Regions from separate parts of the Mus musculus genome. Here all the other regions are reported to be linked to region 2. The links are microRNA targets in miRTarBase. Many come from high-throughput screens and were not tested one by one. Region 2 holds a microRNA gene; each other region holds the end of a gene's coding sequence.
The links. The annotated mature microRNA mmu-miR-409-3p reads GAAUGUUGCUCGGUGAACCCCU and lies in region 2 at 1,009-1,030, opposite strand. An mRNA with a match to its seed (bases 2 to 7 or 8) in the 3' UTR can be bound and repressed. Matches are read on the target gene's strand: a 7mer-m8 pairs with bases 2 to 8, a 7mer-A1 pairs with bases 2 to 7 and ends in A, and an 8mer does both.

Region 1: miRTarBase lists Sms as a target of mmu-miR-409-3p. Seed matches in the 3' UTR shown: 7mer-A1 at 590-596.
Region 3: miRTarBase lists Adgrf5 as a target of mmu-miR-409-3p. Seed matches in the 3' UTR shown: 7mer-A1 at 1,016-1,022.

The regions. Positions count from the first base shown.
Region 1 is chrX:157,443,398-157,446,397 of GRCm38, forward strand. Sms (spermine synthase) reads right to left here. Exons shown (of 11, transcript NM_009214.4): 11 at 454-2,779. The coding sequence ends at 2,740. Among named protein-coding and RNA genes, the nearest start is that of Gm24281, 14 kb to the left of the region's middle.
Region 2 is chr12:109,741,110-109,744,233 of GRCm38, reverse strand. Mir409 (microRNA 409) reads right to left here and starts at 1,076; the gene lies at 998-1,076. It overlaps Mirg (miRNA containing gene), which reads right to left. Exons shown (of 8, transcript NR_028265.1): 3 at 2,419-2,544; 4 at 1,944-2,172; 5 at 816-877; 6 at 387-568. It overlaps Mir541 (microRNA 541), which reads right to left and starts at 1,825; the gene lies at 1,736-1,825. It overlaps Mir412 (microRNA 412), which reads right to left and starts at 945; the gene lies at 866-945. It also overlaps Mir369 and Mir410.
Region 3 is chr17:43,454,855-43,457,854 of GRCm38, forward strand. Adgrf5 (adhesion G protein-coupled receptor F5) reads left to right here. Exons shown (of 21, transcript NM_001081178.1): 21 at 402-3,000. The coding sequence ends at 481. Among named protein-coding and RNA genes, the nearest start is that of Gm25135, 2.1 kb to the left of the region's middle.

The DNA.
Region 1 (3,000 bases), not on the chromosome of region 2:
ATAACACTGCTGACCAATTGGCCTCTAGAATAGTATGCACCCCCCCAAAAAAAATATGCTGTCAGAGGAATGTTAAGTAGCTAGTTCCACAATGAAAACAAGTACTGTTGTCTTTTCTGAGCAAGTCTTACCAGAGAGAACCCCTCAGTGGCAATAAAGTGCTTTGAAAGGGGAGCTGTTGCCAGGGTGGTGGTGGTACACGCCTGTCATCCTAGTACTCAGGAGGCAGAGGCAGGTGGATTCCTGTGAGTTCGAGGCCAGCCTGGTTTACAGAGTTCCAGGACAGCTGGGGCTACACAGAGAGCCCTGTCTGAAAACAAACCAAAAAGAAAAAAGGAAGGAGAAAGAAAACAGAACTATCAGATGAACCACCAGTGTGAGCAGCTCAGAAAGAGGCCAAGCCAGAACATAACACATATTTTCCTTCCCTTTCCCAGGCATAATGGAGACGGGATGAAATTGATCCATTTATTGAGAGACAGATGACAGGCAGAAATACAAAGTCTTGTGTCAGCAATTGTTAGGGAAAGCAAGGACATGACTATTCCAAGTCTACAGGAAGAAGCAGCACATTTGTTTATTCAGATAGTAATGTTCTAGCCCACTAAAACCACCACCAACCCAGCCTTCCCCGGCCCAGGTGGAGCTCTTTTATAAATATTCAATCACATTTCCAAGAGAAAGCAGCATTTCATGTCTTAATAAATCAATTCTTAGTATCTGCTGTGTTGAACAGAATTTAAACTCTATCCATATTTGTTTTGTCTTTCATTAAAAAAAAAGCAGGACACCATAATATATTCCACTGTTAAAAGAATCTTTCACACTACATAACACTACAGTATTAAGAAAAACAACAAATCCATTAGCATTCCTTAAGAGGCAGCCAAAGCGAAGGTGGGTCGGAGTAGAGCACAGGGTAGGGTGGGTGTTGGTTCAGTTTGCATGCTTCGGTGTCAAAATAACAAGGGCTCAAAACGGAGACCCTCCTTCAGCAAATCAGTCACATCTGAGTTCACATTTATCACTCAAGATAAAAACCTCTTTCTTCCTCCTTTCCTCAACACCACTTCCTTCATTTTATCCCAAATGCATCTCATAACCAATTAGCCTCACATAACCTTATCCTCTTCATTTCTACCACCTGGTGCTTAGCAGGAACTGAGTCACCCGAATTATGAGTGGATCTGTGGTTATGGCCTCAAGTTACTCTTCACGGATCACGCAGGTCAGTCCCCTCATTAATATTACCCCAGCAGCTGATATACTTGCTTTCTTTACTTAAATGGTAACAAGAATTAAGCTGTGTGATGGTACAAGCTCAATTCTTGTGAGCTTCCAGGAAAGCCTAGGCTACATAATAAGCTCCAGGTTAGACTGGGCTACATACATACAGTCACTGTTTCAAAAGTAATCGTAAGAATAACAGTACAGTGGGTAAGGGGCAATTGGCCTTAGCTAATATTCTAACTGTAGCAGTACATTTGTTTTCAATTCTCCACAATATACAAAGTTTTCAAAGCACTGGGGAAGAATTTGGGTGGAGAAGTGTCTACTGGGCTGTTTTTACCCTATGCATGCACCAAAAATATTGTTAAATGCATCTAATTTGAACATAACTATCAACTCCTTTTATTCTCTATTGTTTCTTCTTCCATGTCAATCTAAAACAAATGGCATAGGTTTGCGCTCACTTTTAAAGATCATTTGTCTTGTCCTGTCTTATTTGTTCCTTCCTATCTTGGGAGGGACAATGAAACTTGAGCCTGATTTCCATTAGTAAATTTTCAATGTTTTACTTGCTGTAAAAAAAAATACCATTCTACTGATACAGTGTAAATATTTTACACAAACAATAGGATAGACAATTCAAATTATCCACAATACAATGCCAAGTTGCTATTCACATGCACTTTCTTAAGAGTTAAGTTATTTTGCCACAGGACTACATGAACTCTAGTGTGCACTTGCACATCCTACAGTCTTCTCAAAGGCCTTTGGATCTCTAATCAGGGAGAGCAGTAACAGAAATCATCTTTGACTTTCACCCTTTTCAGGCAGGCAAAAATCTTCTGCTATCCTTGGAACAACTTTATAATGGGGGGGCGGCAAATATAATAGGTTGTGGATCGTTCCTCAAGGCCTTGACATTATGCTGAGTGCAGTTAACAGTCTAGATAGAATACACCTTTGCCCTAGGCCATCAGAGGTAAGAAAGAGGAAGAGAGGCTGAAATAAAGGGACAAACACCGTAAGAGGTCTCCTTTGTCATTTTAATTGAAGCACTGCTAATCACTCTTTTAAAACCTTTAAAAGCACCAAATTTTAATATCTAAGTCAATTTGGGGGTGAGAGGGGAGAAACACTATCAGGAACTTCTCTCCAGAACAAAACAATGATGTTCATTCCTCCACATGTCCAAATTAAAGGTCTACTGAAACCAAAATGAAAACCCAAACCCCACACAGAGAAAAAAAAATACTAAAATCACATTCTAGGGGGTCAGTGCATTCTGCAGTCTTTGCTGGGCTGTCTAATTGTCCTTCGGCTGACTTTTTAAAATTAACATCCTAACTCATCAAAATATACATTTTTCCCATTGGCTTTTTTAAATTAAAAATAATAATTAAAAGTGAAAACCACTAGAAGGAATTCATGAGCAGTTGCCTGACACATTTGATGGCATATACGGCATATGGAGGTCAGGAAGGTGGCTCGCAGCACACGTCATTCTCATCTTTAAGGCTTAGCTTTCTTCCAAACAGTGTAAAACACCCACCTGGACGGGAAGTCAAGGAACAAGGCAGGTCAATAAGGAAGGACAGGTACCACTTACCAGATAAGCCTACAAATTAGAAGGCGGACTCTGATTTATGGGTTTAGGTACAGCACTGTGGGGACAGCACAAAAGTTTTTGAACAAGACCACTCTGTAGCATAGGACACCCGTGCTACATACCGCGTGGGACATCTGAAAGGGGGATTGAGTGAACAAAGACTA
Region 2 (3,124 bases):
AGGTGACCATGCACTGTACCAGCATTAAGAATGGAAACCCGTCACGGGCAATCTCACCTCAGATACTAGGAACTGCACGTGTAACCAACTGGCCTGGCTCTTCCCTAAGTATCATGCTAGCCCCTCCAAGCCCTCATGGTATTGAGAAGCACCCAGGGTACAGGGCATTTGAGCATGCAGCCCTCGGTGGAAGCCTTAGACAGGGACAAACACCCATTGTTGTGGCGGGAAAGAGGCATGGAAAGTGGACAGCCATCCATTGCACATCTGGCCAATGCTTCGTGGCCCAGCCTACAAGGTTGGTGCGATCCCAGGAGGCTCCTCAGAGCTGAGGTTCAGTGAAGAGGGGGTGACAAGCGTCATACAGAGTCCATGCATTTACCTACCGGGCAGTGGTGTGACACCTGGTATGTACTGCCGAGTGACCGGAGTGGCAGGTGGTATTGAAAACAGGCCATCTGTGTTATATTCGTCATTAATAAAGCGAACTCATCACAGACAACCTCTCCTCAAGTACCCAGTGTTGACCGCAGCAACCCTGGAGCTGGAATCACCACCTGAAGCTGTCCTGGGGGGAAGGGGGGGATTGCATATAAATGGTGAGTAGGGTTGACACAGGCAGCACACAGCCTGTTCCACCCAGCCCAGTTCCCCGCGGAGGCAGCAACCTAGAAGCACCATGCTGTCCCCACCCCCACAGGGGCTGCAACTCCAAGAGCTTCTCCAAGCTGAGCGTTGATACTGAGAAAAGATCAACCATGTATTATTCGAAGTCAGCCAAGCGAATATAACACGGTCGATCTCCCTTCAAGTACCAGCAGAGGTGTTGAGCTGAGGCTGTGACATCCTGGGCGCAGGCTGCAGCGGGCACCGACGGCTAGTGGACCAGGTGAAGTACATTAGAAACAATTACTTTCCAGCTGGTCGACCATCCGTCCCATACCCCAGAGCGAGATGAGTCCATGGTCTTCCCTGAGGTGGCCTCCCTGGAGGGATTTGATACCGAAAAGGGGTTCACCGAGCAACATTCGTCCTCCAGATGCAAAGTTGCTCGGGTAACCTCTCTCCGAGTACCACGGAGAGGCTCGGATGCTCAGAACGAGGCCGATGGCTGAGTTTCCAGAAGAACCATCCTGGAGCCCCTCAGAGATTATAACTCCCCATTCAGTGAGGAGCCACCCTCCACCACGTGAAAGCAATTATTCCATCACCTCCCCAGTGCAATCTACCACCCTTTCACCTTCCAAGAATATCTAAAGCCTTCCCAGACAACCTTGAGACCCAGGTAGCGAGGAGCTGACTCGGGGCAGAAGTGGGTGCAGAACTCTGCTTACTCTATCTCTCCTTTGTAAGCTGGAGATAGGGAGATGCTGAGACCCTGCGCATATACCACACCACCCTCCCAGAGACGATGCCTTCCAGAAGCGAGGAGGCAATGACTGCATCATCCAGAGATGCTCCTCCTTGGGCCCACCCAACCACTGCAGCCCCACGACCCTGGCATCCCCGCCCTGTCACCTGCCCCCTCCCCCCACGGTGATGTCATAGCAAGAACTGCTTGACCATCCAGTCCTATAAACCAAGCAAGTAATGCTTCAAAGATAAACATGGAGGGAGGAGAGAAAGAACAGCGGAAGGAGATCCCGCAGGGTCCCCTTGTGCCAGTGTGTATGGCTGCCCCGCACGAGCACGCCAGGGAGGGCTCTCCAGTAAGGGTCAGGATCCATTGACTTAGGCCATAAGCAGAGTATGGATTCTGTGTTCGCCACTCATTTTAAAACTCTTGGAGTGTGACCAACATCAGAATCCCTTCTCTGATTTTGGCAAGAGTTCACACAGGCTTCTAGCCTTGCTGCAGGGCAGCAAGAGACTGGTCACATGCAGTGTGTCATACGGGGAAAAGACGCCACGGGCAGCTTCATGTAGGTGTTCTGGAAACTGACCTGTGGGACAGAGGCTCTTTCCCCAGCTGGCATCACCTCCTGGAAATGCTCCTAAGAGGCACACAATGGCGATGATGGTGGCTAACGGTAGCTACAAGATCCAGTCAACAGTATGGGGAGGGAAGCTTGTCCAGGTTCTTCCTCCAAGCACTTGTCCTGGAGAGAGCTCCAGCCACTGACCAGTTCCAAGACAATGATGTAGCCTCTGGAGTCCTTTGAGGTAAAGATCCTTTTGGAAAGAGAGCCACCATGAAACCTGGTGCTCATCACACCCCAGATAGTATATTAGACCCTGGATACATCCACTCTAAAATGACCTCCCGTACGGGCCTAGCCCTTCAGCACCAACAATGGGTACGTCTTTAAGCCTAGCCCTGGGAGCTGGCAACATGGAAACCCAAGGAAGGGCAGGCCCTAGAATGTTCCAGGTACCAACTGCTCGGCAAGAGCAGACTCCCCAGAACCAGTGTCTTACCCGGAATGTTTCATGAGGATCGAGGAAAGTGAAGAAGACTGCTCAGTGGGCACGTGCTCTGGCACTGGTACCCAGTCACATCCTCCAGGTGACACCCGCCAGCTTCTGAATACTCCATGAAGCTCTCTGTAAAGGTTTGGGATGGGAAAATAAAGTTTAGCCACATTAAAAAAAAAAACCCACATGGTGACCAGTCCTTCTTATCACCCCACTAGCTCTAGTCTATATCCATAGATTTCCCCATCTCAAACACCACACCCACATTGATTTTCATAAAAAAACATGCATTTCTTTCCTTTTTTTTTTTTTAAAGTAAATTCCATTAAACTAATCCAATTCCCTGTTTAGCTTCCTTGACTGTGCTGTTGGGCCATTTTCATTTCTTTTATTTCCCTTGTTATTTCCTCAAATCATTTTCATTAGGATCAATTCTTTCCCATTTAAAAATCTGAACGAAGATTTGATTCCTCAATGTGCGTTCATCTACCACAAATATTACTGCTCATAGCATCCGCCACTACTGAAGCTGCCCCTTGCGGCTGCCATGTCTACAGAGTACTGTTTCCCCAGGTCAAATGTCGCAGCTCAAATGTTGTCAAGAAAATTGGATTCTTCTGCCAATTTGTAGTCAATTGAACACATTTTCCTCCAAGCTATTCTGGTAGTTTGTGGTGTTATTTTGTGATTATTTTATCACTATTATTTA
Region 3 (3,000 bases), not on the chromosome of region 2:
TTTATGAACCTTCCGCTCAATGGTTTGTTCCTTCCTAAGGATGTCCCCAAGTCAAAATAAGCCAGGGGACCAAGAAGGTTTTCCTTGTGTAGAAGCCCCCAGGTCCCTGCATGTGGGGGCTTATGGAGAGACTTCCTACACTGAGATCTTGCCCGGTGTGAAAATCTGACTGCTGGTGTGTGGTGTAGTTAGCGCTTGGTGGCTGCTGCGCATGCTCGAGGACAGCACTTCCGCGGTTTGTTCTCCGGCACGTTGGGTTAGGGAAGAGGGCAGGCGTGGGTTGGTTTCCAGGCATGGCTGCTGCGCCCGGAGCTCATCTTCGCTCCTTAGATGATGTTTCTCCTTCAAAGTGCCGTTGTCTTAGAAGCTGAGATGCTGTTTTGTTTTGGTTTCGTTTGCAGGAACATATAACGTTTCCACCCCAGAGACAACCAGTTCATCCCTGGAAAATTCCTCTAGTGCTTACTCACTGCTCAACTAGGACCAGACAAAGCCAAATCCACAGGCCCTCTCCGAAACAGGGTCCGTGGCAGGAAAAGAGACCCATCCAAATCTATGGGTAACGTGCTCTCTCTGCAGACTTCTGGGAGCAGATGCTGAAGAGACTCTTTCAATAGAGAAGATGTTTTCTTTTGTAAAGACAGACTAAAAGCAAAGGCCATGTTTATTTTTGCTCCTAGCCCTATCCCATGTGTAATGCCAACTATGTATAGTATTTAAAAGAACCCTCCCCACAAGGCTCAACTTTTCTCTATGTACTGTAAAATAGAATTTTGAGGAGATTTTTATACACACACCCCCCCAAACACACACTCACACCATTGGCTACAAAGATAAGAGTTGATTGAAACAGTAAGTAAAAGGCTAGTATCCAGGAGTTCAGTGACTTCAAGGAAGGAAGGAAAGATGGAGGGAATGAGGGAGATAAGCAGGAAGGAGGAAAGATGATAGAATGGAAGGAAGGAAGGAAGGAAGGAAGGAAGGAAGGAAGGAAGGAAGGAAGGAAAATGTAGAAAACATTAGGGAGCACATTTTAAGGTTTCCACAGTTGTGCTCTAATATGGCCACTCATCTGCCACAGCTCCGAGAATGAAAATATATGGCTCAAAAACAAAATGAAATGAAGTCATGGGGGATATAGTTAGCAAGTTCCTGATCTTTCCCAGCTAAAAGGATAAAAGAGAGAGGCGGGAAAGTAGAAAAGAAAGTAGAAAGGAAGAGTCGGCACGAGGATGCTTCTGGCTGGATAATAATATTTGCAGGCAATGCACCCAAGGAGACACAGTTCTCATGACAAGGACACATATGAACCTTTGTATGTCAAGGTCTGAGCAAAGCACAGTGAACATGCAGAGCACGTATGACAGCCACTCTGTAAGATTCAAGAAAGGTTCATCTCTCATGATCTGTCAGATACGCATTGTATGCTAATTTGTTCAGCCTTTTGAAAGCCATGCATGCATATGTACATATTTTAATCCCATAATTGACAAACTTGATCTACCGCACTGAGCTCAGAGTCCTACGTCTGTCGTACATGTAACAACAGCTTTAACCGGGTACTCTCTGTGCATTGTAGAATAGATTTAATAATTATGTAGCATGTACATTTTTATTTTGTACTCGTGACTTCATTGTGACTGTGGTGATGACAGCCCTTGGTGTGCTGTCTGTATTGCTGTGTTCTATCCCTTCCCAGCCTTCTAAGTTCCTAGGCCAATATACATTCAGAGTTTCTATGGTCTGATTGGTGTTTCTTGCAGCCACTTGGAAGGAGAAAAAGGACCTGGCTCGATAAGCAAATCGCAGATCCCCCACCCCCACCCCCAAGAATTAGATTCTGAATTTATGCCCGTGTGGTTTTTTTGTATGTGTGTTTCTCAAATTACAGATATTTATTAAAACTGCATCCATGTTAGAACTCACCAGGTTCCATATCCAAGAGCAAGCATGCACCCCACATCAGGGTGTCAACCCAAAGGAACAGTGTCAGTTAACTTCTCATTGCTGTAGTAAGACACATGGATGAAAGCAACTTACGGGAGAAAAAGGTTTGTTTTGGTTTACCCTTCGGAATATAGCCCATTACGGCAGGGAGAGCACGGCTGTAGGAGCATGAAGCCAGCCCATCACACCCACCACCTCAGCAGTCTGGAAGTGGGATCAGGCTATGAGAACTCAAAGCCCTCACACAGTGACATCTTTCCTCTAGGCAGGTTCCACCTCCTAAAAGTTCTATAATCTTCCCAAACAGCACCATCAACTGGGGGCAGAGGGTTCTGGTACGTGGACCTATGGGAGACAATTCACATCCAAACAACCACAAGCTGCAGACCCTTTAGGACCGACGTGCAGCATTGAGTTTTTATAGAGTGAGAGACTGTGTGGGTCCTTCGTTGGGAAAGACAAGATAGAAGAGTCTGAGGTCTGACATCCATAGTTTTAGGTACTTTCAGTCTCTTAGTTCTAAGCTTGAAGTCTATTTCTGCTTCTCCGTTCTTCATAGCGGAAGGGCAGAGTGGGGCATACAAAGTCCCGTCCCTTGGGTTCCGTTTCTGCTTAAGTGCCATCTTCCCACACTTGCGTGAGAAACACCACACGCCTATCCCAATTTAATGGCTCATTATTTAAAGTTCTTACAGGAAAGGAATCCACAGGAAATGTGGATAAGATCTCCAGGGAGTCTCCAAAGCAGAGCAGAGTTCAGTAGAGGGAAGACAAGAGGCGTCTAGGATGGGACATCCTTTGGATCAGAATCAGGTGCCAGAGAAAGAATGGCCAGGAATGTTCAGCCCCTTGAGTTGCACTAAGGAGCATCAAGCCAGAGGGATTTGCATGGTATAACAAGGCAACATGGACGTCTTGGAAGCTCAGCACCAGGAGAGGCTGGGGCCGTTGTGCTCAAGAATGCAAAGATCCAAAGTACACTGAGCTTTGGCCCACTTCATTGGTGCCTCTTGGGAGCCATGGGGCTTGACCTTGTAAGGAGATCCTCCACAG